4 linked regions of the Caenorhabditis elegans genome follow. The protein of the gene in region 1 purifies or fractionates together with the protein of each later gene. This does not show direct contact. Each region holds a gene or a part of one and is shown on either strand. Other genes may lie near its edges.

What was found.
Region 2: the proteins of cox-5B (region 1) and cox-6B fractionate together in Caenorhabditis elegans (co-fractionation; one large-scale study listed by BioGRID). This does not show direct contact.
Region 3: the proteins of cox-5B (region 1) and ndab-1 fractionate together in Caenorhabditis elegans (co-fractionation; one large-scale study listed by BioGRID). This does not show direct contact.
Region 4: the proteins of cox-5B (region 1) and ndua-2 fractionate together in Caenorhabditis elegans (co-fractionation; one large-scale study listed by BioGRID). This does not show direct contact.

The regions. Positions count from the first base shown.
Region 1 is NC_003279.8:9,784,504-9,793,157, forward strand, and holds cox-5B (COX5B-domain-containing protein), read left to right. Parts: upstream 1-4,505; coding exon 4,506-4,691; intron 4,692-4,717; exon of another isoform or gene 4,718-4,987; intron 4,988-4,996; coding exon 4,997-5,096; intron 5,097-5,147; coding exon 5,148-5,260; 3' UTR 5,261-5,348; downstream 5,349-8,654. Other genes in the region: drsh-1 (Ribonuclease 3), read right to left, coding at 1-157, 493-812, 863-1,219; tba-1 (Tubulin alpha chain), read right to left, coding at 1,430-1,945, 1,991-2,604, 2,655-2,887, 3,120-3,121.
Region 2 is NC_003281.10:2,781,665-2,790,094, forward strand, and holds cox-6B (Cytochrome oxidase c subunit VIb), read left to right. Parts: upstream 1-4,537; 5' UTR 4,538-4,539; coding exon 4,540-4,596; intron 4,597-4,643; coding exon 4,644-4,763; intron 4,764-4,826; coding exon 4,827-5,015; 3' UTR 5,016-5,090; downstream 5,091-8,430. Other genes in the region: Y71H2AM.6 (DNA/pantothenate metabolism flavoprotein C-terminal domain-containing protein), read left to right, coding at 1-101, 865-1,107; Y71H2AM.20 (Serine/threonine-protein phosphatase 2A activator), read right to left, coding at 1,162-1,287, 2,271-2,635, 3,483-3,825, 3,871-3,960, 4,027-4,152, 4,203-4,280; nduc-2 (NADH dehydrogenase [ubiquinone] 1 subunit C2), read left to right, coding at 5,198-5,543, 6,226-6,299; tbcc-1 (C-CAP/cofactor C-like domain-containing protein), read left to right, coding at 6,781-6,985, 7,043-7,167.
Region 3 is NC_003281.10:11,914,653-11,917,509, forward strand, and holds ndab-1 (Acyl carrier protein), read right to left. Parts: upstream 1,061-2,857; 5' UTR 1,059-1,060; coding exon 915-1,058; intron 859-914; coding exon 601-858; 3' UTR 501-600; downstream 1-500. Other genes in the region: Nuclear pore complex protein npp-16, read left to right, coding at 1,283-1,420, 1,478-2,034, 2,255-2,752, 2,804-2,857.
Region 4 is NC_003279.8:14,109,597-14,117,464, forward strand, and holds ndua-2 (NADH dehydrogenase [ubiquinone] 1 alpha subcomplex subunit 2), read left to right. Parts: upstream 1-4,039; coding exon 4,040-4,212; intron 4,213-4,256; coding exon 4,257-4,323; intron 4,324-4,368; coding exon 4,369-4,407; 3' UTR 4,408-4,489; downstream 4,490-7,868. Other genes in the region: dnj-29 (J domain-containing protein), read right to left, coding at 469-712, 1,207-1,315, 1,376-1,612, 2,980-3,135, 3,196-3,311, 3,372-3,495; TLC domain-containing protein fld-1, read left to right, coding at 4,611-4,673, 4,889-5,116, 5,571-5,726, 7,169-7,294, 7,343-7,431, 7,484-7,592, 7,687-7,807.

The sequences.
Region 1 (8,654 bases):
TGGACATCTACACTCTGGTCCTTCGTTTCCCAAACCTTTTTCATTGAATGAGATATCCGGATGAATTCCATTTGGATGAGTCTTCTTTCGATCAATTCCTTTTTTCAAAAGTGTGATTTGCCGTTCCTTTTCTTCGAAATTCCGCAATCTTTTCGCTCTTAAACAAGAACAATTGAAAATTACAAGAGGCAGCATTTTTTTGTGCCAAAAATATGGTAGCCGATATTTTTGAATTTTCATAGTTTTCCCACAAAATCATGTGTGATTTAATGTTTCATTTCAGTTTGAAAAAAAAAAACAAATCTGTATCGAAAAATCGATGAAAATTCTGCAAAAACACAAGTTTGAAAGTACAGTACTCTAAAGGCGCGCACATTGCATTCAACAAGAAATTGTCGTGTCGAGACCAGACACGGTATTTTTGCAGCAAACATCGAAATTTTTGCGTTTATCTTAAAAAATTAACATGGGTATTTTAGAGAAGCTGCATACTTTCTCTGTTGATTCCTCCGATTACATGTCTGTTTCTCATCTTTTACTTCTCCGGTCTTGTCCGCTTCAGGAGCTTGTCTGTTTGTTGGCTCTGAAGTAGAAGCTTCATCCTGAGAATCGTTCGAGTCATCAGACACATCAGATGCCGTAAAACTTTCGTCTCCTCCTTTCTGTTTTGGCGTTTTCCGGCCTTTCATTGAATGACATGGATGAATTATATAAGGAACATCAGCTTGAAGTCGACGTTTTGTTTTAACAGTTTCCAGAATTTTAGTTTGAAAATCTTGAAGTATTTTACTTGTTGTTGATTTAGCTTTGATCTGAAATAAAAAACCACATTTTTATAAAAACGAAAACGGTTAAATCGTACCATCATATATTTTTCAGCTTCTTCTGCTTTTATAACAACTCTATTCGATTTTATAAGCTCTGCCGAATGTGTAGAAACAACTGGAGGATCTATCATATAATTCGTCTCATAATCTTTTTCTGTTAATCTTGGAGAATCTCCAAATGGCAATGCTGACGTTGATTCAGTAGGCAATGGAATTTTTTCAACAGTATCAGGTGGGGCACTTGAAGTTGATGGTTGATTTTGAAATCTTCTTCCTAATTGCTGCATCATTTCTTCCTTGTGACGTTCCTGATACTCCTTCTGATATTTCTTTCTTCGAGCCCGCTTGTGTTTCGGGAAGTTAAGCGTCATTGAAATCTTTTCGTCCGACATCTAAATGAAAATCTAAATCTGTCTACAATTTCAGATGAAAACGTTAACTATGGTAATTGATTCGAAATAATTTATCGTATACAACACAAGCGATGAGCATAGAAATTGGAACTCTTTTCATTCAAAATTTAGAAAAAAATAAAAAGAAGCGAATTAAGCAGAAATTGATGCGAGTTCAGTATTATGCAGATTGGAGCAGGCGGCACGAGTTTAATACTCTTCTCCTTCCTCCTCGTTTCCTCCCTCGTTCGAGTCAGCTCCGACCTCTTCGTAGTCCTTTTCGAGAGCAGCCAAGTCTTCACGAGCCTCGGTGAACTCTCCCTCCTCCATTCCTTCTCCGACGTACCAGTGAACGAAGGCGCGCTTGGCGTACATAAGATCGAACTTGTAGTCCAAGCGAGACCAGGCTTCAGCGATGGCGGTGGTGTTGGAGAGCATACATACGGCACGTGGTACCTTGGCGAGATCTCCTCCTGGAACAACAGTTGGTGGCTGGTAGTTGATTCCGACCTTGAATCCAGTTGGGCACCAGTCAACGAATTGAATGGTTCTCTTGGTCTTGATGGCGGCGATGGCAGTGTTGACGTCCTTTGGAACGACATCTCCTCTGTACAAGAGGCAAACAGCCATGTACTTTCCGTGGCGTGGATCGCACTTCACCATTTGGTTGGCTGGCTCGAAGCAACTGTTGGTGATGTCATTGACAGAGAGAGCCTCATGGTAAGCCTGAAATCATTACTTTTTTAACAATTTGACATTAAAAATGTATACCTTGTCAGCAGAGATCAGTGGAGTGTACGCAGCCAATGGGAAATGAATTCTTGGATATGGGACCAAGTTGGTTTGGAACTCATTGAGATCAACATTGAGAGCTCCATCGAAACGGAGGGAAGCGGTGATGGAAGACACAACCTGCGAGATGATGCGGTTCAGGTTGGTGTAACTTGGACGGTCAACGCTGAGGTTTCTGCGGCAGATATCATAGATAGCCTCGTTGTCGACCATGAACGCACAGTCGGAGTGCTCGAGGGTGGTGTGAGTCGTCAGTATAGAGTTGTATGGCTCAACGACGGCAGTCGAGACTTGTGGGGCTGGGTAGATGGAGAATTCCAGCTTCGACTTCTTTCCATAGTCAACCGAGAGGCGCTCCATAAGCAATGAGGTGAATCCAGATCCAGTTCCTCCTCCGAATGAATGAAAGACGAAGAATCCTTGAAGACCACTGCAGTTGTCAGCGAGGCGACGGATTCTGTCGAGAACAGTGTCGATCAGTTCCTTTCCGACGGTGTAGTGACCACGAGCGTAGTTGTTGGCGGCATCTTCCTTTCCGGTGATCATCTGTTCTGGATGGAACAGCTTCTTGTAGGTTCCAGTGCGGATCTCATCTGAAAAAAAAAACAAATTTGAATTTGAAACGGTTTTTATTATTGCTTACCAACAACAGTTGGCTCAAGATCTACAAAAATCGATCTTGGAACATATCTTCCGTTTCCAGTATCGGAGAAGAAGGTGGTGAAAGATTCTCCATCGGCTTGTTGGTCTGATGGCATAGTTCCATCGGGCTGGATTCCATGCTCGAGACAGTAGAGCTCCCAGCAAGCATTACCGATTTGGACTCCGGCTTGTCCGACGTGGATGGAGATGACCTCACGCATGTTGAAAACGAACCTGAAAATTAACGGAAATTAGAAGAAATGAAATCATAAATGAACGCGGATAACATATGGCGTAAAGTACGAATGATAAAATCATAGGAGTCGATCAACTAGGAAACAAGGTCAACTCAATTATAAATAATCCTGTTGACAATTCCGGCTGAATAGTTTTCAGGGCAATAAACCAGATATAAACTTGGTACAAGGTTTACAACAAGTAAATAAAAACAAAACCAGGAACTTACATTAGTTAACGAGATGGAGAAGGTTTGGGATATAAAATTTATGAGCCTCCAAATGAAACAAACCCAATTGCATACATATGAAATGCTAGCTCTCAAGAGTATTGCGAAATAGCGAAAAAGACTCGGACCGTTGAAAACAGAGAGCAATTACGCCCATTGCATCGTGGTACATACACAGCAGTCAAACCCTATTGGGTTCTATGCATCTAGTCAAATGAGAAATGAAAGTCGGGCTGGGAAAGAAAACAGAGCTCTTCGTCATTAGATATTCTGGTGCGAGGAAAGGGTAAAACAACTCAAATTGGAAGACTAAAGACGACAATCTTTTCTGCCTTGCTCTAGACATCTGTCACTTGGATGAAACTGGTCAGAGAGGCAGTGCCGGGTCAGAGAGAGGAACGAGCGACGCTTGTCCGATTGGCCAAGGACAGCGGCGACCCTATTCCTCGGTGGACATGACTAGTAGTGGCCATCTGGTGTATATTGCGAAATAGGTTCTCCACTAAACCTTAATCCGATGTTCATGATATAGACGCTTGGATGTCCTATTCATGAAAATGCAAATATTCATCGGGACGATTCAGATTTCAATGCAAAAAATAATAAAACGAAGTTTAAGTTTCAGTAAATAAGCTATGATAAAATAAATAAAAATTAAAAACATCACAAGCAATAGCACGTAACTAAAGTAGAAGCCGAAATGCAAATCTATAATGATTTTATTAGCCGCTGGAGAAACGAATTCCCTAAAACTAAAGATTCTATTGAACACACAAGTTGCAATATAATCAAGAAAATTTGTTAACAAACAATAAAATGTGGCTCAATATTTACAGCATGTGTAGACAACGAGTCAACTTTCAAACAACTCCATTTTAGGAGCAAATCGAAGAGAGAGAATACGAGCGATTGAGAAGCGAAAAATGAGAAAGAATGACAGCCATCTCCCAATCCTATTGTCGTCTGTTTCGCGCCAAAAAAAGTGAAAATTTCTCCCGAGCGCGCCTAGTGGACGAAACGAATTCAAATCCTCTTCGCATTACGGTGTTTCGTATTGAGGAGCGTCTTGTGCGTTGCAACAGACGCGCGTAGTGTATGCCGAGTGTACGCCGAGTGTACGCCCGCCACTGAGGCTCCGTAAATCGTGCCAAGCGTTTTTGGCTCTTTTCGGCTATTGTTCGCATTTTCAAGGGTCCAATCAGAATATAAGTGTTCTTCAAAAAATTTCTGATTTTTCAAGAGGTTTATCTTTTAATTTAACCCTATTTCAATAAGGCCACCTTCCTTTTTTGATTTTTAGACTCCCGATCGATAATTTTCTTCATTCGAAATCGAATTTATATTTAGTCGTTTTTGATACTTGAGAAATACAATTGTATTTTTCAGATGGCTCAACTTGCTAAGACGGCTGTTGCCGCCCTTTCGAAGAAGCTCGTCGCTCCAGCTGCCGTGGCCCGTCGTACTTTGGCCACTGAAGCCTCGCCAGAAGACTACGGATACTACCCAGATCCACTTGAGCACGCTACCGGACGTGAAAAGAAGATGCTTCTCGCTCGTCTTGCTGGAGATGATGTGAGTTTTTGTTAATAAAATTTAACAATTTTCCCAATAATTTCCAAAGTATACCCCATGATGTATCAATTTAGCTAATTGTGAGCTACTTCGCTCTCGAGATTTTGTCTTGAAGTGTGAGTCGTATTGAACGAACTTTGTCGAAGCTGATCTGAGGGAGATTTGCAATTTGAGTCGTTATCGTATCTAATACTGGTTTTTAATGAGAAAGTGTTTACAAAATGAAACCCATTTAGTAAAAGTGGCAAATTATCTACTATTTCTTCATCTTTTCAAAGTTAAATAATAAAAGTTTCATTCTTCAGCGTTACGAGCCAAAAGTCTACTATCGCGCTGAGGCTTCCACCAAGCAGAAGCCAAATTTGGTCCCATCTCACTACGACTTCAGAATCATTGGATGCATGTGTAAGTTATATTTAAAAGCATGATTGATTCAATTAAACAACTATTTTTCAGGTGAGCAAGATTCCGGACATGTCAATTTCATGACAATTCGCAAAGGAGATCCAAAGAGATGCGAGTGCGGACACTGGTTCAAGGGAGTCGACGCCGACCCAGAATCCATCTAAACAATTTTCAATGTAGATTATTGTTCCGACTTATTTTAGATCGCTCCATCAGTGAAAATAAAACGCGCTGGTTTGAAGACAAACCATTCTGTTTCTAGAGTTGGTTCAATTCGTTTCTTTGTTTTTCGTCAAGATGTCTCCTATTTCTGTAAATTAATTTTTTATCAATTTAACCTACATTTCTTACATGAAAAAATGTTCTTCGTAGGTTTTCCCTGACAATCTCCTGGATTAGGTGGTTAATGTTAAAAATGAACAAAACAGGTGGAAACAACAATCAATGATGCTGTTTCTCCCGTCAACCTCCACAGAATCTAGCTGATAAAAATCTGAGTTCAGATGCCTCGCTCCTCTCATTTTGTTATTGGTTTTCAAAATCACGTGCTGTCACTAGCACATACAATTTTGTTTTTAAATTGGCAATTGTTTGCCTTCATTTCAACAATTTTAAGCTTTCGTGTTGTCGTAGATCGAATTTATACATTTAGAGCCCAGGCTTGAGCATTACATCAAAAAGTAATAACTCACTTCTTCAAAACATTTCCAATTTTCGAACCATTAGTGACTTCCTTTTTCATTTTATCATTTAAAAACATGACGCTAGTTACGTAAAACAAGTTTCCGTACTATTTTGACGAGAACCTTACATTTGTAACATCCTATTTTGAAGTTTCAAAGACTAGAATTTTGTTATTTTTTCGGGTCTCGTGTTCCACTATCGCTTTACCCAATCAGACTGTTTCTCTGCGTATTTTCTTTTTTTTTAAATTCTGATTTTCAATGATAACAGAGTTTCGTGGTCAATGGGAAAACTCGTGTTTGCCCAATTTTCTTGTTCAAATTCAACTTTTAATAGAACTTACATAAATAACAAATCTAGGTAATATTTAGATTGTTTCTTATTAAAAAAAACATAAATTAATTAATTTTAATTAAAAACAAAAGTTAGGAGATTTTTTGCCAGTGTTCTATGACGCCTGCGCTTCATAAACTCTAAACGAGCTTTCTCGCGACAAACCATGGCGCAGCTTGCTGCCAAATTAAAATTACCCCTCCCTCCATTGCCATCTCAAAAATTCAGAAAAAAAACGGCGTTACAAGTTCAAAACCAGTAGGAACTCAGTATTTGTGTGTCTCGAGGGTTGATTCTCTTCTCATTGACAGCCTTCTCGCATGTGCGTGTGTCTGTGTGCGCATCTTTTCGTCTCTTTCTCGTCAAAATCAATATTCTCCGTGAGACGAAATAGTGTAACAGGATGAAGAGGGTGGGTAGAGATGTTAGAAAGCTCCTGCTGAACTCGCTTTGGCACTGGAACTCTTTTTCATCGTGAAGAAATTCCTTTGAACTATTTTTTCCTACTAGGGTTTTTTTCAGTTAGTGTTATTCAAACTCATATCCATTTTATATGATTTTTATTTAATCGTAACAGAATTTACAATGAATCAGCTTTCCCCCCACGTGACGTCAATTTGCCATCTTGTTATTCGTCGTCTGACTATTCTGACAACGATAGAGTATCGAAAATCCCCACGAGAAAAATTACTAGACGCTGAGAAAAAAGGAAACCTTTCTCTCATTTTTTTGTTTCGCTCAACTACTCTCTAACATTTTCTTCGTTTTCCGAAACGGAAATCTTGGATAATCGGTTGTTATGGCCCGTTTCGGTGATCCAAACAATTTTACTTTTTCATACATTTTCCATAAAAGCCTCCAAGCTTCAAAAATTGATTTTTTTCCAATTTTATCAAATTTCTCTTGCCTTAATGATTAAATAATTAATTAAGTAATATAAGTTGAGGAATGTGTTTTAACAAAAAAAAAATGGATCGTAAATACTGTCAAATTTTTTGAAAATACAATTTTTCTAAATATTTCTAATAATCTTTTTTAATTTAGCAAAAATTAAAATGTTGAATTAATTTCGAATTCCCGCAAAAATGAATCACCTAGTTTCGAAAATTAAAAATTCCATGTTATTGTTTTTATCTCAATTTCTTTCAGGTTATCAAGTTTCCCTCACGGAAAATTGATGAAAATTTGGCAAAAAATGTTTCAAATTAAATATTAAAAATATAGATTAATGCGAGGGAATTTCGGAAAAAATCATTCTAAAAATTTAGAAAAATGTATAATATGAAATCAAATATGTCTAAAAGTTTTATTCAAATTCATTATTCAATTTAAAATTCCTGAAACAGTAATCCAAAAATTGAAATAATGCACCGTTCACTTCATCATTCTTTATATTTCCTTGTTTAGCTATGCGAAAATAAATTCGGTGAAATCGTCATAATATGATTCATCTTTGAAACGTTGCTTTCTATTCAAAAGTTCTCTGTGTTTTCTATATAGAAAGTAAGAAATTGCTCTATTTATACAAAAAAAAAACGTTTATTTTTCTTTTCAAATGCAGCTTTCTCTTCAATTCCGTTCCACTCTTCACACACATAAAACTTTTTTATACGTTTTCATTGGCACCTGATGCCAAAACGCCCTCATCTAATCTTCTAGATCTCTTCCTACGTCATCATATCCATTTGTGAATACATTTAGTACGATAACATAAATAATCTCATCGGAAATACATCAAAGAGCCATATTTTATTGCATTGGAGTATGACCACGAAAGTCAGAAAATGAAAAAAATCTGCGTTTTTGGTGATAACAGTAGTTTCAATCAAGGGTGCACTAAACATTAAAAAAGGAAAAAAAAATCTAAAAGTTGTTTGAACTATTCTATTGATCATCAGAAATGCTTTATATTACACACCTGATTGACTTACTGCTGCATCAGTGATTGTTTTAATTTAAAGTAGATAAATCTGATTCTTCGGTTTATTATTTTGAGCTGTTTTTTTTAAAAACAATTATTCATCGAAATGTGCAAAAAGCCTTTTTGATTTTCAATAAATTAATTTGATGGGAACCAATTCTACATATTTTCAGTTTTTTGTGTGCACCCTTGGCTTCAAGAAAGTTGTGAAACGGCTCTTGGATATTTTTGATTTCTTTGGACCCCCCGAGAAACAAGGGAAACAATTGTGTTCTTTAGAAAAATAGTTTTGTTTTCTGGAATGGCTAATTTTTGAGCCATCTGTAGAATATGGACACTTTTTTGAAAATGACTTTTTCACTTCTTCAGGCCAAATTCACTTCTTCTCATTGATTTTCCTTAATTTGCATCGACATTTCCAGTATTCTGGTTGTCAAAAAAACCGCCAGAACCCCGATATTTTGCGATTTTCGCGCCGAAAACCTTTTTGCTTTGTTGTAAAATCAAAAACAATAGGCGTCTTTAAAGAGTAGTTCCAAACTTTCATTTTGTGGGATTTTCGTATTTTTTCGTCATAAATATGCGCATTTATTTAAAGAAACAATAGAAAACTATGAAAA
Region 2 (8,430 bases), on another chromosome or scaffold:
CCAGCAACACCGAGCTGAGCCTGGAGCTCAGCGTTGCTCCGAAAGTTATTCAAAAAGTTGTCACCTGCTTCATCCCGAATGCGTTTATCGTCTCGTTTAAAGTTTGTTCTTGCGATTTTTGATCGAAATTTGCTATTTTCACCGATTTTTTTGTGCAAAAATGTCCAAAAAATGCGATTTTATCGAAAATTTTGGTTTTCTCTCCCGTAAACCACTTGGAATTGGATATTTTTGCCACTTTTAATCGAAAAAAATCCCGAAAAAATGCAAAAATTATATTGACGGGTCTTGGCACGACCACAGACACTTTTTGAAAAAAGGTGTGCGCCTTTAAAGGGTTACTGTAGCTTTTTTTTCCACTTTTTAGCAAAAAATTGTTTAAAAAGGACGAAAACCTAAAGAAACCGCAAGAAATTGGTTGAAATTTAACAGTATTTTTGAAATTTGAAGTGAAAATGAAAAATAAAACGAAAACCCCAGGAAAAAATGCAAAAATTCCTTTGGCGGGTATCGGCACGACCGCAGAAACTTTTTAAAAGAAGGCCTGCGCCTTTAAAGGGTTACTGTAATTTAATATGATTTTTTTTTCAATTTTTAACTAAAAAATTATTGAAAAATGGCAAAAGGTGTTTTAAAAAAATCGGTTTTTTTTTTCAATTTTAGAAAAAAAAACTATATTTCAATATATTTCAATGTCCAATGTACTTTTTTTTCACGGTTTTTTCTCTTTTTTTTTGGAAGAAAAAGTACATAAATTCAATTTCTACTGTATTTTTCGTGCTTTTTCTCAATTTTTAATCAAAAAATTAGTTGAAAATGCCCATTTCCCCCCGCTAAATTTCAATTTAATTCGTAAATTTCCAGCTAGAAACGGACGAAACAAAGCTGATTCCAAAGGCAAAAGCTGCTCTCTCCAAGTACGGCCATCAACTCGTCATCGCGAATATGCTATCAACTCGCAAGCAACGTGTAACTCTCGTCAGAAAGAATATTGAGCAAGGAGAGGAGATTAATCTTGCTCCGGGAGCCCCCGAGCTGGAGATCGAATCGTTTATAATCGATCGTGTTAGCGCTTTACACAGACAATTTATTGATGCACAAATGTAGATATACAGTCATGATTTTCACGGAAAATGAATAAATATTTTAATATAGTAGAGATCATGCATCGGCCATTGGTGGTGGGCAGTGCTCGTTGGGATGTTTCTCACTGTGAAGACGTCGCAAGTCTCCAGATTCGACGACAGATGACGAATGGACGGTTGAAGTGTTGGCGGCGGATGGGATCTGAAATAATATTTGATTTTTCAGGGGGAGTTTGTGAGAAAAATGATGGAAAAATCAATTTTTTATCACCCTCTTTCTGAAAATTTGCGTTAATTCTGAAAAAACCACTTTTTTTACAAAAATTTTTTATGGTCGGTCAAAATATCGAAGAAAAAAAAGCCAAATTTTGCTAAAATCTGAAATTTCGCACACTTTTCTTTGTCACAGCCGCTGGATTTTAATTTTTCTGAAATTATCACCCTTTAATCCTTATTTTGGTGATTTATCTCATTTTGATCATTTTTGGGTGCCTATCGGCCTAAAAGTTGTCTCGATCAACGAATTTCCGCGAGATAAATCACCAAAATAAGGATTAAAGGTTGATAATTTCAGAAAAATTAAAATCCAGCGGCTGTGACAAAGAAAAGTGTGCGAAATTTCAGATTTTAGCAAAATTTGGCTTTTTTTTCTTCGATATTTTGACCGACCATAAAAAATTTTTGTAAAAAAAGTGGTTTTTTCAGAATTAACGCAAATTTTCAGAAAAAGGGTCATAACAAATTGATTTTTTTTCCTAATTTTTCTACTAATTTTTAGAAAAAGAAACAAAAATCTTGGGTTTCATTGGTTTATATACACTTTTAATATACACTTTTTGTAAGTTTTCTACGGGAAAACTCGAAATTTAAGGCGATTATAATAGCTTTTGTTGAAAAATTTGGTCATTTCTCAATTCTTCCAGCAAAAAATCGTAATTTTCCATACAAAACGTTTTTTTCTGACAAAAATCAGTTTTAAAAGAATTTTCTGTTTGAAGGTGAAAATTCAGCGGTTTAGTGCGTTTTCAGTGAAAATTGGTTTTTCTGCCAAAAAAATCACCACTTCTTCTCGATTTTTTCCATTTATTTTTCAAAAAAATCAATTTTTCCAGTGAAAAATTGAAAATTTCGCTTTAAAATCTCTATAATTGTCGATATTTTTACCATTTTCTTCTCCGAATTAACCTTAAAAGCGAACATTCCATGCTGAGCCGGAGCTCTTGGAGGCATCGGATCCTGTGACGGAGCATCTTCCATAGATTCTCTTGGATGCTCCGATCGATCAAATGAGAATAAAGAGCCGAACATCATGTGCTGAACAACTGGAAACTTCTTTAAAACTTCTCCTTCATACATTTTAAACATTCCACTATTGACTTTTTTCCAGTGTGGAACTGCTGAGATATTCCAAAGTTGATTTGAATGTTCGTGGAAAGGGCCGGTTTTTGTTTGATTGATAAAGTTTACGCAGTCCAGGAAAAGACTTGTGTGGGCGTGAGTCTCAACAATATTCTTTTTTAGGTAACTGTCCGGCACGATACTTTTTGAACCTGAAAATCGAAACAATTTAAGATTTTGGAGCGGATTTTTGGCTATTTTTTGGCATTTTTCAACATATTTCAGGCCTATATAAGCTTTGGAAATTCAAAAGTTTTTTTTTTTGTAATTTATTGGTAGAAAACTAGATTTTTAGGTGATTTTCTAGTAAAATTTTATAATTTTTTTTCTGAAATTTTCACAGAAATATGCTTTTAAGCGGGGTTTTCTAGAAAAATTGTAGAAAAATTTTTTTTTGTCATTTTCGGTGCCTTTTTTAAGTTTCACAGGAAATTTAGTGAAAACTAGCTTTTTTTGAAGTTTTCCTACGAGGAAATGTTGTAGATTGAAGATTTTAAACGATTTTTCCCGGATTTTTAATAGGAAAATCGCGAAAATTGATGATTTTTAACGGAGAAATTGAGGATTTTTCAATGAAAAATTGTGAAAACTTATGATTTTTAAAGGAAAATTGCCAAAATTTATGATTTTTTGGCAAAAATCGCAAAAATGTGATGATTTTTTAATGAAAAATCGGGAAAATTGTTGATTTTTTATTTAAAAAAAATCGCAAAAATTTGTGATTTTTCGACAAAAATCGTGAAATTTGATGATTTTCAACGAAAAAACGGAAAAATGCATGATTTCGAATGAAAAATCCTTGAAAAATGAACGTTTTTTGAACAAATACTGTGAAAAAAGACATTTTAGATAGAATTTTCCGACAATCTGTGAAAATAAGTCGGTTTTTCTTCGGAAAACGACTTAATAATTGTGGTTTCTTGAGAATTTTTGAGTTTTTAATGGAAAATTCAGCTATTTTCCTGAATTTCAAGACTTCTAGTTGCTCCAACATATTACCAATAAGCTGAGCGCTTCCAAAAATGAACGGCGCGAACTGAAAATCGTCAATCGCATGAACTCCACGACTTCCAGCCGGCTCCATCTTGAATCTGGTCTGCAGATGACGGCACACTCTCAAATACTTGTTAAAAATGCGAAGAACGAGCACTTTGTCATCATTTTCTGTGAAAACGCCCAACTTTTGCAGGCAAAACAGCAAAATTAGGAAATTCGCCTCGTGTCCCGAGCCGTAATCGATTCGAGTGGCGTTTCCGAAGGATTCTGTGAAATATGGAACCAGTTCGACTAGAGCATCGTGGACGTTTTCCGGAAGAACGCTGGCTAGGAGATCTGGGGATTCCTGGAATTTTTAAAATCTTTTTAAATACATTTTTGAGCTAAAAACCTTGCAAAGCTTCTCATAAAACTTTCTGTAAGCTTTATTGCCAAATCTTTGCTCGGAAACATCTTCCAGAGGAATTTCCTCAGCCCATTTCTGAAAAAAATCCATTTTTTATTTTTTTAAATCTGGTTTTTCGTAATTTTCCGTAATTTCTCGAACCTCCAGCTTATCCAGCATGTCGATAAAGCTGATAACCAAGTCTGTGCATCTCATGTCTGCAGTTGTATGAACTCCAACTACAGAATCATTCAAACGATGCAAGAAAGCCAGGTACTCCTCGTAAGCCTGCAAATTTCCATTCATAATCCTTCAAATCGATAAAATTTCTGTTCTACCTTGGAAAAGTACCACGGATTCAGGTCGAACACATTTTTAATCATCTTTTCCGGCGGTTTATACGAGTTTTCAGCCATTTTTCTGGAAAAAAATCTATTTGTTTTGATTTCTAGAACTTTGTTATGTAAAAAAATAATGCAGCAAGTGCGCTCCAACGCAAAACCCCATTGTGGAGCGTTTTGTGCGTGAGAGGTGTATAGGAGTGTGTGGCTCGCGCAGCGTCTTTAGTGAAAAATTTTTATTGATTTTAAATATTGTTTAATTCGGTTTTCACGGATTTCTGAGCTTTGAAAATAACCGCCCGTGTTTAAATTTCAATTATATTCAATTTCAGTAATGCCTGTCGAAGTTGAGGTTCCCCCAACCACTTACGAGAGACTCCAGCAATACAAGGTGAATTTTTAGCGTTTTTCTTCATTTTTATCGATAAAAATTTACAGGAGAAGTTCTCCGATGCTCTCCGTCATCCAGACTCGCCAGACTGGTACAAGAAGGAGACCCACGAGTCTGTGAAGAAGGATCTTCTCTGGGCTGCTCCATACGACGCCAGATTCCCACAGGTTGGTAACTTTATTTAAAATTTATTATATATTAATTAATAATAAAAATGTACAAGTTTTCAGGTCCGTAAGCAACGTCAATGCTTCGCCTACTACGTCGATTTCCATCGTTGCAATGAGCTCATGGGACAGGACTACAAGCCGTGCAAGTTCTTCCAAAATGTCTACAAGGACTTCTGCCCCGGATTCTGGACCGAGAGATGGGACGAGCTTCTTTCCGAGGGACGTTTCCCAGCTAAATTCGATCGCTAAATGAGATTGTTCGATTGTATTCGAGAACAGGCGTTTTATTAGTGCTGATATTCGATAAAAAGTGTCACTTGTAAAATATTTTAAACACTTTTATTTCTTATGGCGTTATGAGACGCTTGAAATATCTCATTTTTTTTAAAAATCATATTTCCCCCAAATAAATAATTTTCTCAGTGGAAACCATGGCTGACTCAACTCGCGTCAGCGAGAAGGAAATCGAGCGCCGCGAGACCTTTATTCGCGCAGGACACAGAGCTCGTCACCTGGCCGATCCATTCACATGGAGCTACCCATTGAAGGGTGCCAGTGCAATGCTCGGAATCTCGCTGGCTTCGGTTTATTTGCAAAATCGATGGAACAAGAAGCCGTACTACTACGCAATTGTTCCACGGCTTTTGCTCATCGGAGCCGCCACCGCCGCCGGATACGCTGCCGGAGCACTTCGAGAGAGACACTATCAGACGAGAGACGCAGTCATCGAGCACTACATGAAGCTTCATCCAGAGGATTTCGACCATTTTAATGATCGTGAGTTTTGGAATTTGCTGAAAAATCGATTTTCAGATTTTACTGCAATTTCGAAAAAAAAACCCGGCTGAATTCGATCAAATTTGAAAGATTTCGGCTTTTTCCCCCCAGAGAATACCGTATTTTTCGCGATTTTCTGTGATAAATGCAGAAAATATATACATTTTCCCCGAAAAAAAAACGCTGAAAAGGAGAAGATTTGGCTAAAATGCTCGATTTCGGACCAATTTTTGCATTCAAACACCCAAATCAATGATTTTTATCTTAAAAATAGCAAAAATTGGCGTGAAAAACCGATTTTAGCCTAAAACACCATGGAAAACTACAAATTATCGGTTTTTTCGTATTTTTTAACAGTAAATTCGTCATTGTTCATGTAAAATACTATAAATCACCGATTTTTATGTTAAATTCAGAAAAAAAATAGTGAAAATGGCGCATTTCAGCTTAATCTTCTCCTCGAGGAGTACACGAGCTGCGTAAATCGACACATCACAGAAAACTTGAATTTTGGACTAGAATTCAGTTTTTTTTTCGCAATTCTAAGTAATTATTTTGGAAATTAGTGCGAAAAAAAGGGAATTCTGGCTAAAAAATTCAAAATTTCTGGGAAAACGGAAGATTTTCTAGTGAAAAATGCAAGAAAATCATCAAAAATTCATGGAATCTATTTATTTTTCAGGCAGTGGACGTTCATTCTCTCAAGTTCTTCTTCCATGGTATCCACGCAGAACCCAGTACACCAGATACGACTGAACAATTCTCTCGAAGTCTCTTTTTAGTTCATTATTGTAAATTAAATGAAGAATTATTGATTTTTTTCCCGGAAAATTCTCATTTTTTTCATTTTTCAGCATCCATCTGGTCTTTTGAGCCGTTTTGAATATAACTAATTAACCCAGAAGCAATTTTGGGGCAAAAATACTATACTATATCCTGGGTCTCGACGCGACAATTTGTGTTAAATGCGAAGAGGGATGCGCCTTTAAAAAGTACTGTAGTTTTAAACTTTTGTTCCGGTGGTTTTTATTGATTTTTTATAGTTTTTCTCACATTTTATGAGAATTTTTGCATATTTTTTTAACGAAACTAGAATAAAAACACATAAATTTCTATAAAATCTGAAAAAAAAACTATGAAAAATCGATCAAAAATTTAAAAAAAAACTCAAAATTGTCGTGGCGAGACCAGTTTTTTGCCACAAAAATCGCGCAAAAAAACGCCAGATTTCAGCATAATGGAAGCATCTTCGGAACAAATTTTATTGGATCGAAAAGATCGATTAATTGCAAAACTGGAACAAAGAAATGAAGAACGAAAAGTGCAAACTGAAGAATGTTTATCGAAATCTGAAGGAGCACAAATCGATAATTTAATGGCGGAAATTAAATCGGATTTGGAAGCGAAAAAATCCGTCGATTCGCAGAAAATCGACCGGCTTCGTAAGAAATTTCCCCGCCTCAAACAAACAAAATCGATAATTTTCTTCAATTTTTCAGAAGAATTTCTGGCGTTCTCGACGAGTAACCGGCAAACTAAAACAATTCAAAATTTCCTTGAAGACGTTCGAAAACAGAAGCTCGCGCTGAATTCTGGACCCAAATTCAAGGGTTTTTCGTTTTCAGTTCGGTGGTTTTTTTCACTGATTTTCTCAGGCAACTCAAATCTAATATGAAAATATTAAATAGCAATATTTTTGTAGTTGGGTGATATTTCAAGATAAAATCGCAATATTCCGAGACTTATTCGAAATCTTTTTAGATTGAGCAATCTTTTGAGAATAATTCGCAATATTTTGAGGTTGATTCGCAATATTTCTGAATCTGAAAATATTACGAAAAATTCGTAATATTTTGAGATGACATAGCAATCTTTTGAGATTGGTTCGCAATCTTTCTGAAATCTAAAAATATTACAAAAAAATGTGTAATATTCTAAGATTAATTTGCAATCTTTTTGCAGTCCATAAAGATTACAAAACACCATTTCCAAATTTCCATCGGCTTCACATGATCGTGATATATATACAACAATTATGATTACTGTTTCGTTCTAAATTCTCTTTTCTTCCAAATGATAAAAGACTTTTCAAAGTAAAAAACAGCTACATGAAAATCTATATAATGGAGTATCTCACTGTTAACGGATATTTGATTTTTCGTTGCATATTGTAGAAGGAGTTTTTGCAGAGAAAGCCACAGAATTCACAAATCTGTCCACTCATGTAATTTTTTCTAGATAATTGGCCGGTCATATTACAAATTCAGTCAAACAATCACGAAGATTGGTCGAATACATTAAAGTAGACTTACAACTATTCATTCACGCGTGATGCGTTTGAGATTTTCTGATTTCAATTGAAATCATAAAATATTGTCAACAGCAAGCATGTTCCCAGTATACTCATCATTTTAATCAAATTGTTAGTGAAAAAAAATATTGAAAAAATAAAATGTTATTCTCTCTTTGACAAAAATTAGGAAAATTTGCAATTCTAACATTTTTAAAAGCATAACAAATAAATCGTTTTTCCACATTCGCTTTCAAAGAAAGTTATCCAATTTCGCTCTGACACTTAGAAAAATTTGCGAAAAGCCACTGATTTCCCATCAAAAGTAACGAAAAGGACGTGCGCCCATCAACTATTTACTTAAGCAATAACTAAATCTAGATGCGACACGTACAGGATGGCTCAACAGGTAAGATAATGGTTCATAGACTCAACGACAAGCGACGGACAAGTTCAACTCCCCTCAATGGCAACAAAAGTTCTTCGAGTTATCACAAGACAGTTCTAGAATAGTCGATGAATGCATTTTTAATATTTAGAGACAAATTCGCAATATTTTGAGACAAAATCGCAATCTTCGGAGATGAAATCTCAATC
Region 3 (2,857 bases), on another chromosome or scaffold:
TTTTCTTGATTTTTTTTGTTAAAAACTGATTCAAATCGGTTTGTATAGATTGTCGACCTGAAAAAAAAACATAATTCGACAGAAAAACACCTATAAAATTTGCTAAAATGTAAACAAAAACACTTTTTTTAAAATTGTAATGAAAAAATTGTTCTAAATCAGTTTTTTTTGCTCAAAAATTTGTGATTTTTCTGTTTTTTGAACTGAAAAACGAAAAAAACTGGTTTAAATCAATTTTTAACAAGAAAAAATAACGAAATTCGCTGCAAAAACGTTTTTTTTTTTAGTTTTCTCATTAAAAATTTGTGTTTCTCCTGTTTTTCGACTTGAAAAACAAATTTCAACAAAAAAAAAGAAAGAAAAACGCCAAAATTCTGGAAAAATGCACTAAAAAAGCGGCTACCATAAACTTTCGCGTCGAGACCCCTAAATCTGTGCGCCTTTGAGAAAAGTATATCAGAAAGAAATTAACTTTTTATCAACGCGAAAATTATTAAATGAATTTCAAACTTTTATTTTTGAAAAAAAATCCGAAAAACAAAAAAAAATGATAATAGAAAATATTTCTACTGCAGCTAAAAAGATAAAGAAATACAAAAATTATTCGAAAACGTCTTCCTTGTCGGCGATGTACTGGAAGATGTCGCGTGGCGTCTTGAAGCGATCCGCATCTCCGTCGGGAATCTCGAATCCAAACTCTTCCTCCATCGCCATCACAACTTCTACGTGATCCAGAGAGTCGAGGCCGAGATCTTTCGAGAAATCCGAGTCCATTGTGAGCTTCTTCGCGTCGATTTTGTCGTAGAGTGAGAGAACCAACACAATTCGCTCCTCGAGTGTCTTTTTGGTCAGTGGAGCCTGGAAAATGTTGTTTTCTTTTTGCGAAAAAATATTTTTTTTTTGTTAATTCCCACCTTTGCAGAGTATTGTCTGATTTGGAAGCTTGGTTTCTGTGCGGAGAGGAGTATTGGGGTGATGACTCGTTGTTGGACGGACGCATTGCTCAGTGCACGCACTGAAACAGTGCGGAGAGCAGCGGAAACGGCGACTCGCAACATTTCTGAACAAATAAATAATTAATAATAATTTTTCGAACCGAAATTCGAAAAAAATTTGACGGGAAATCGGGAAATGACTCATCGAGCCTGAAAAATAAGTGAAAAATAAAAAGAAACGCCCGCAAGCGTCGTCGGGTTTGATGCCGAGTACGCAAACACCGTCACGTCACATTGCACAGTCTTGCGAATTCAAATTAAAAAACAGATTTTCGTTCAGATTCGTGATGAATTCCCTAATTCCACCGCCAACTTCTGAGCAACAAATGAACATGTTCCGGCTCCGCGACAAAATGAGCCTCCTGAATGCAGAATTTCTCAAAGTCATCAACGGATATTTCACGGAAAAGAATCATTATGATTTTGTAAGTTTAAGGTTTAAAACCTTTTTTTTATGTCTAATTAAAGATCTAATCTTTCAGTCTGGAACTATGAAATCATATATGGATCATGTGGCACAGCTCAAGCAGATTTATAAGGTCGATGATGACGTTGCAGCCGATATGACAGTGCCCAGACGAACCGAAAACTCGTCTGAAAGTTCTGGAGAAACAGTTGCTCCGCGGAAAATAGCCAAAGCTGTGCGGAAGAATGGAACGCCAAAAAATCCGCTGAATTCTACAGTTTTCGCTGCCTCGAGCCCGGCGGCGACAGTCGCGTCTGTGCCCAAGTTTGGCGACATTTCAGTGATAACCAAGGAAACGCCAGCTCCACTCGCAAAAACCGCAGAGCCACTCGTTGCTCCAGCAGCTCCAGCGACCGCCCGAAAACGCGCGATTCGTGGCGGAGGACCTCTCGGTGGAGCTGAATCAGTGGTTTTCAAATCGGGCGAAGACGGACAAGCCGCCACGTCGAGTGTGAAGATTCCGGCTACGACGATCAAATTTCCGGAGCCCACCAAGGATTTCTGGACGAAAAAGTCTGATGCGCCGGCGGCTCCGAGTAATTCAGGCTCACTTTTCGCATTTTTGGGAAAAGAGTTAGTATATATATAATCGAAATTGGAAAAAATTCATTAAAATTGAATTTTCTAACATTTTGCCACATAAAAAATAGCATTTTCGTGGTGAGAATGCTACATTTTACGCTGAAAAATTGTTTTTTCCAACTAGAAATCGAAAATGTCGGCTTTTTTGCAAAAATAGCAATTTCAGACTATTTTCTATTAAAAAAAACCCACCAATATATCAAAATTTCAGTGGCGACAAGCCGAAGGAAACTCCAAAATTCAGTGGATTCTCGTTCGGAAAGAAGCCCGCCGAGCCTTCCGAAGAGCCAAAAGCTGCGGATTCCACACCAAAATTGACATTTGGCTCACCAAAAGAAGCAGATTTGCCGAAACCAGCTAGCTCTCTATTCGGAGCCAGTCCTTCTAAGCCTCTGGTGTTCGGAGGAAGCTCCGCAGACTCTACCACATCGGCTCCAAAACCTTTCTCGGCTCTTTCCACGGCAGCTTCATTATTTGGATCAAGCTCTGCCTCCACCACCACCACCGCCACTCAACCATTATCATTTGGCTCAAGCTCCACTGGAGGCTCAAGCCTTTTCAGCGGATTCGCTGGTCTCGCACAGAAAGCCATGGAAAATCAGAATCAGGCGAAACCAGAGGGTTCTGGTGAAGACGATGAGGGAGAATATGTGCCTCCGAAGGTGGAAACCGTCGAAAATCAGGAGCCGGATGCAGTGCTGAGCAGCAAGTCAGTTTAGGAGCATTGTTTTAATGGAAATTTAAATTTTTATTTTTTCAGAGTATCCGTGTTCAAGTTCACCGGAAAAGAATACACAAAGCTTGGAGTTGGAAT
Region 4 (7,868 bases), 4.3 Mb from region 1:
ATGAAAATTTTAATTCAAAAATTTGTAATTTTGGTTGAGGCTACGCTAACTTGTAGTTTGTAGTCTGAGAATCCAATTTTTCTCACTTTTTTTCGAAATTTGAGCAGTTTTCGTCGAAAAAGATCAAATTTTACAAATTTTCTGGATGTTTTTTTGTGGAAAAATATGAATTTTAACACATTTCAAACCGTTTTTCGCCGAAAAAAATTGGTTGAGGCTACGACAATTTGTAGTTTGTAGCGTGAGCCTCAACCAAATTTGGGTGAGACTCCCAAACTGTGTAGTTTGTAATGTAAGCCTCAACCAATTTTTATCACAAAATCGCCAAAAATAGTGAAATTTTGGCAATTTAAATTATTTTTCCAGATTTTTTTCGCTTTTCGGGTCATTTTTCATCGATTTTTATGAATTTTCCATCAAAATTGTGCGATTTTTATGCTTTTTCCTGGGTTTCCATCAATTTCCAACCTCTGATCCTCCTCCAACGCATCATTTTGCGATTCCAGTGGTAATCTCGACAGATACGCGTGTAAAAGTACACGAGATTTCAGTGCATACGGTTGGCTCAACGGTTGCTCTTTTCCCTTATCATTAACACCGGCAATCTGTTTCATGAGCCTCGGAACCTCATAATCATCAGTTTCTCGTTCCTGAATCTCCTTATTGTACTGTTTGCTGAATTCGAAGGATCCAGAGAGCACGGCGATCATTCCTAAAATTAAAAATAATTGATTTTCAGGGTGAAAATGTATTTAAAACTTGGCAAAAATGCTGAAAAACCGAATTTTTAGCTTTGAGATTAATAAATTTCCAGAAAATTTGGATTTTCCAGCACAAAATTGCGATTTTCTGTTGAAATTAGTGGTTTTTTTTTTGTAATAAATTTGAATTTTTTTTTCGTGGAAAACCAGGACTTTTGTAAAAATCGTCAAAATTTGAGTTTTTTGCCCAAAAAAATTGCCAAAAATCTGATTTTCTGGGTGAAAACCAGTCAAAACTCAAGTTTCCTGCATGAAAATTGGCAAAAATCCGAATTTCTTAGCGGAAAATCGTCGAAAACTTTCAAAATTCCATTATTGTATGGAAAATTGCCTAAAAATCAATTTTCAGGATGAAAAATTGCCAAAAATCCGACTTTCTGGGTGAAAAATCGCCAAAAAAGCAATTTTCTGGCTGAAAATTTGTGGAAAAATCGATTTTCCTCACTTCCAATCTCCATTCTCGGTGTCCGATTGATGAAATAATAGTACATTCGTGTGGTGTCCAGAAGAACCTTGTCAGCGCTGTATTTGATCGAGCTATACCACCACATTCCCTGAAAAATCGATTTTTCGCGAAAATTTCCAATTTCCGCCATTTCCAGCGCCAAACTCACAACAGAAACGGGCAAAATGATCATAAAAATGAGCCCATAGAAAGCGAGCACCCAGAGTCCGTATTCTTTGCTCACAAGCCATTTGGGCAGAGCAATTCCGAAAGTTGTGGCAGTTGGGCCGTCTGGATTTCCGTATTTTTCCCAGTTTTCGCGAGCTTCTTTATCGGTGAGAGCCTGGTGAGCCTTGGCGATTTTATCGAAGAATTGAGCGTCTCCTCCACGATCCGGATGGTGAATCTGCAAAAAATTGGGTAAAAATTCCAGATTTTTGAGCATTTTTGTGGGGAAAAAACTGAAATTTCAGAAATTTTAAGGCGAAAACAGGGCAAAAATCATGTTTTCCCGAGAAAAACTGTCTGAAATTCAATAAAAGTGCCCGAAAATTCAGTTTTTGGGTGAAAATTGCAATAAAATTTGGGAAACAGTGGGCTTTTCCAGTAAAAATAGCCAAATTTTCAGTTTTTTGGCGAAAAATTATGATTTTTATGGTACTTTCCACAAAAAATTCCTTATTTTACGGCGATTTCGCACAAAAATTTGTTGAGGCTCACACTACAAACTACAAAAACTATCAGCCTCACCAAAAATTACTGAAATTTCAGAAATTTTAAGGCGAAAACAGGACAAAATTCATGTTTTCTCGAGAAAAACTGTCGGAAATTCAATAAAAGTGCCCGAAAATTTAGTTTTTGGGTGAAAAAATGCAATAAAATTTGGGAAACAGTGGGCTTTTCCAGTAAAAATAGCCAAATTTTCAGTTTTCTGGGCGAAAAATTATGATTTTTATGGTATTTTCCACAAAAAAATTCCCTATTTTACAGAGATTTCGCACAAAAATTGGTTGAGGTTCACGCTACAAACTACAAAAAGTGATTAGCCTCAACCAAAAATGCATGATTATTGGTTGAGGCTCACACTACAAACTACAAAAATCTCCAGCCTCACCAAAAATTAATGCAAATTTTTAGCCTAAAATTCCTGGAAACTGCAATTTTGGAGGCAAAAAAAGTCAAAAAAATCGATTTTCAAGCCGAAAAAGGTCGAAAATAAGCTTTTTTTTCGAGAAAATATCTAATGGAGTGAAATTTCAAGATTTTGAGGCTTTTCTGTGGGAAAAAATAAATTTTCAACAATTTTAGCGAAAAAATTGGTTTTCAGCGGAAAAAAAAACCAAAAATATAGATCTTGACGCAAAACCGACCGAAAATTGCAAAAAATTTAGTTTTAGAGTAAAAATTGCAATAAATTATGAAAAAATTGGGTTTCTCCAGTAAAAATAGCCTAAATATTAGATTTATTGGCGAGAAAGTGTTTGAAAATCAGGTTTTTGCAAAAATATTTCGATTTTCGAGGCATTTTCCACGAAAAAATCCATATTTTACGGAGATTTCGCACAAAAATTGGTTGAGGCTAACACTACAAACTACAAAATTCGCGAGCCTCAACCAAAAATTAAAACAATTTTTTCATCTAAAATACTTGGAAACTGCATTTTTCGAGGTAAAAAACAGTAAAAAGTTCGATTTTCTTCGATTTTCAAGCTGAAAAATGTCGAAAATAGGGGTTTCTCAGTAAAAAATCGCCGAAATTCCAATTTCCAGCACCTTTGACATATCTCTCCAGGCCTTTTTGATGGCCTTCTCGTCGGCGCCCTGATCCAGACCCAAAATCTGATACGGGTCATAGTCCTTGTGAGTTTGCTCGATTTCAGTCGTTTTTTTCACAATTATCGCGAAAATTGCCCACGCTACAACGAGAACCTGCAATTTTTTGGGATTTTTAGTGGATTTTTTCCGGATTTTTCAGTTTTAAAGCCTTACAACGATGGTAATAATCTTTTTAGTCCGTCGCCACGGCTTATTCGCCGCTTTTTGTCGTCTTTTCTTGTCACAACCGTCGCATTGGCACTCGTGTTCGTTGATCACGTGTTCTGGTTCTAAAAATACGAAAAAATACGAAAAAATTATGAATTTTAAGCCAAAAAATCGATTTTTACCTGGTTTCGAGGCTCCTGGAAGGCATAGGTAGGTCGCCGGGAACAGAATAATCGCGTAGAATGCCACGAGCACATAGTAAAATGTGTTGCCGACTTCGTCGTACTCAAACGACGCGCGGCCCATTTTTTAGCGATTAATTACTGTAAAAATAGTGATTTTTTGAGTTTATCAAGTGGTTTTTCGTTTGAAAATATCGAAAATAACGTTGAAAAACTGAAAAAATGTGCGATGACGTGACACTTCGATTTGCAGTGTCTTCCGCAAAACTGTGCGGCGGTGTTGCAAAATTGCGTGCGCCACTTGCAAAAAGGGGCGGAGTCATTGGTTTTTGATGATTTTAATGGGTTTTTCGTGATTTTTAACTCAAAAAATTGAGAAAAAACTTGTTTTAGCACTAAAATTTGATAGATTTAGCAAAATTTAGGCAAATTTCCTAAAATATCAGCAATTTTCAAAGACTTTGCTCAAAAAACATGAAAACAGCAAAACTGTGCGTAGGAGTTGCAAAATACCGCGCGCCGCGCTTGCCAAAGTGGGCGGGATCACGGGTTATTTATTTTTATAATAAATTTCGAAAAAAATAATCGGTTTTTGTTGGTTTTATTGGATTTTTCTGCATTTTTTAAAGTTTTTTTTTGATTTTAAAGCTTAAAATATCGATTTTCAGATGTCTGTCCGTCTTGCCGGCACCGCTCTTCGCGAGATTCGCATCCACGTCTGCCAGAAAAGTCCAGCATCGGCGGGAGTCCGCGCGTTCATCGAAAACGACTATGTTGGAATCAAAAAAGCCAATCCACAGTTCCCAATTCTGATTCGTGAGGCGTCTGGCATCGTGCCAAGGTGGGAAATTATCGATTTTTGGGTGAAATTGCGGTTTTTTGCAGAGTTTTCGCCAGATACGAGCACGGAGTTGAGCGAGTCGCCACTTTGGAGGATTTGTCGAGAGAAAATGTAGGATTTTTGGTGGAATTTAATGCCGAAAATCGATATTTTCAGGTCAAATCTACTATTACTCAATTGGCGTCCCAGAAATAACCTGGCGAAGAGTTTAGAGTCGAAAAAAAATTCTAATTTTTTAATTTTTCCTGTAGAAATTCATTGAATAAATCGTTTTTATAGCTTTTTTAAGCGAATTTTTTTGAATTTTCCGGGTATTTTCACCCAAAAACCTACTGTTTTACCTATTTTTCCGTAATATTTCCAATTTTTATCAGTTTTTTTTCAGACAGTTCTGGAAAATGCGGCAGCTGGCGGAGCTGTTGACGGATCTTCTTGGCCCAGTGCCAACAATGTTTTTATGGGTAAGAAATTCGAAATTTCAAATAATTTCAAATAAAACTCAAAAAAAAATTAATTTTTTAAATAATTTTTCGTGAAAAATTAATTATTATTTATTTCTAATTTTCCAATGAAATCAACAACGATTTCTTCGATTATTTTTGTGAGTTTTCACTCAAAAAATGCCAAAAACCCCCGATTTTCTGCGAATTTAGGCCCAAAAATCCATTTTCTCCAGGTAATCGTCTCATTTGCCTTCTTCCGAGCCCTGCAATTCATCGTTCGTTGGTACTTATTTGGCAAATGGACGTGGCCGAACTTTAACTTTTTCGACATCCGAAACCGCATTCGGAGGAGACGGAGAGGCGGTCAAGAAGCTGAAAATACTGAAAATCCGCCTGAAAATGAGGCAGAAGCCGGCGAGCAGGTCGAACAGGAGCCCGAGCCCGACAGCAGAGATCTGTCGGTGAGAATTCAGAAATTTACTGCAAAAAAAATCCAAAAACTAGGAAGTTTGAGCTAAAAAAGCAGTTTTTTTTTTCGAAATTTGAGCATTTTTTGTTGAAAAATATCGATTTTACAGCATTTTAAGCAGTTTTTCATCAAAAAAAAAGTTGGTTGAGGCTACACAAATTTGTAGTTTTTAGTCTTAGCCTCAACCAATCAGCTTTTGCTTCAAAACGCCGAAAATTGTTGAAATTTCTATCAAAATCGCTTATTTCTAGAGTTTCTACTACAAGTTTCAATAAAAACTTTACAAAAACGTTGAAATTCTTTCCCAAAACTCCTGAAAAGTGCTCAAAACTTGGTTGAGGCTACACAAACTTGTAGTTTGTAGTCTGAGCCTCAACCAAATCAGCAAATCAGCCAGAAAATATAAATTTTTCCGAATTTTTACCTAAAAACTCCACATTTTCCAGGCTATCCCACCGAATAAGAAATGGCGAATCTCCAACGAATGTGTCTCACTATTCCACTCGGTTATATCAGGATTATGGGCCGCCTACGCACTTTTATACTATAAACAGCTCGTTCAGGACCTCGTTAATTATCGATGTGACGTTGCAATCAATTTGGTTAGATTTTAGCGAGAAAATTCGGAAAAAATGACTAAAAAACTCGAATTTCGAATAAAAAAAACCAAAAAAATTGGTTGAGGCTACACAAACTTGTAGTTTGTAGTCTATAGCCTCACTCAATGAAATCAATCAATTTTCCCCACAAATAATGCAATTTAGTGCTAAAAATTGGCAATTTTTCAACTTTTCTCAACCAATTTGTGAGTTCTGTCCATATTTTGAGGAAAAAAAATCAAAAAATGTCGATTTTGTAACAAAAAAGCACGGAAAACGTTGGTTGAGGCTGAACCGAATTTGTAGTTTGTAGTCCCATCGCTTCAACCATCATTGAGTCACGAAGAGACTACAAAATACAAAAGTTGAACGTTTTTGCTCAAAATGTTGCGATTTTCATCGAATTTTGTTCGTTTTTCTGCAATTTTCGCCGATTTTTTTGTGAGAAATTGCCAAAAATTTCGAATTTTCAAGAAAGTTCCGAGTGAATTAGTGAAAAAAAATTTGTTGAGGCTCTCAAGTTTTTATAGTTTGTAGTCTATAGCCTCACTCGACGAAAAAATCAAATTTTCTTCACAAATAATGCAGTTTTGTGCTGAAAATAGTGTATTTTTCACATTTCCTGCCTATTTTTTAAGAAAAAATGATTTAAAAATTCAAAAAATCTCGATTTTCTACCAAAAAAGCATTGAAAACGTTGGTTGAGGCTCTCAATTTTTTGTAGTTTGTAGTCTTAGCCTCACTCAACGAAAAAATACAATTTTCCCCACAAATGATGCAATTTAATGCCAAAAAGTGTCCCTTTTTCAACTTTTCTCAACCAATTTGTGAGTTCTGTCCATTTTTTGTGAAAAAAATAACGATTTTTTGATAAAAAGGCATTAAAAACGTTGGTTGAGGCTGAGATACTTGTAGTTTGTAGTCTATAGCCTCACTCAACCAAAAAATCCAATTTTCCCCACAAATAATGCAGTTTTGTGCTGAAAATAGTGTATTTTTCACATTTCCTGCCTATTTTTACAAGAAAAAATTGTTAAAAAATTCAAAAAATCTCGATTCTCTACCAAAAAAGCATTAAAAACGTTGGTTGAGGCTGAGATACTTGTAGTTTGTAGTCTATAGCCTCACTCAACCAAAAAATCCAATTTTCCCCACAAATAATGCAGTTTTGTGCTGAAAATAGTGTATTTTTCACATTTCCTGCCTATTTTTACAAGAAAAAATTGTTAAAAAATTCAAAAAATCTCGATTCTCTACCAAAAAAGCATTAAAAACGTTGGTTGAGGCTCTCAATTTTTTGTAGTTTGTAGTCTATAGCCTCACTCAACCAAAAAATTTTCACGTTTTTTTTTCGATTTTTTCTACAAATTTCGAAATTTTTCCATTTTTTCAAGCTTCTCGCTTGTAGTTTGTAGTCCAAGCCCAACTGAATTCAAAATTTTCAGGTTCTAATGTCTGCGGGATACCTTTTCCACGATCTCGTCGATCTTCTGGTCAATGAGCAATCCGCCAGAATTATCGAGCTTCTTTTCCATCATGTTGTCGTTCTTTCCGCGTTCGCCGTCACAATGGTGAGGGTTTTCTGCTGAAATCCCCCAAAAAACCCAATTTTTTTGCAGTTTTTCAACCGATTCCTCGGCGTCGTTGTGTTCGGATTGCTCATGGAGCTCAACTCGATTTTCCTGCACTCGAGGAGCTTGTTGAACTTGTAATTTCAGCGATTTTTCCGTGATTTTCAGCCAAATCACCTATTTTTCCAGGTACGGAGTCGACAAGAAGAGCCCATCGTTCCGTATAATCGCTCTGCTCAATATGGTGACACTTTTCGCGTTCCGTCTCTGCGTTTCTGCGTATTTAGTCTATTTTGTGGTGAGATTTTGTGCATTTTTCAGTGGAAAAATCGAGTTTTCGATGATTTTTTCACTAAAAACACGGCAAAATTTGCACAATTTCCATGTTCCAGGTGGTCTCAATTCCGGATCTCGAGTGGTATGTATCAATTATTAACGGTCTAGTCATCGCCTCGCTCGCCTCCACAAATACAGTGCTCACTTACCGGCTTTTGGCAGCTGATGGGCTTTTGGGTGAGATTTTTAAGTTTTTAACTGAAAAATTCGGAATTTTCAGCCGAATTTTAGTCGAAAC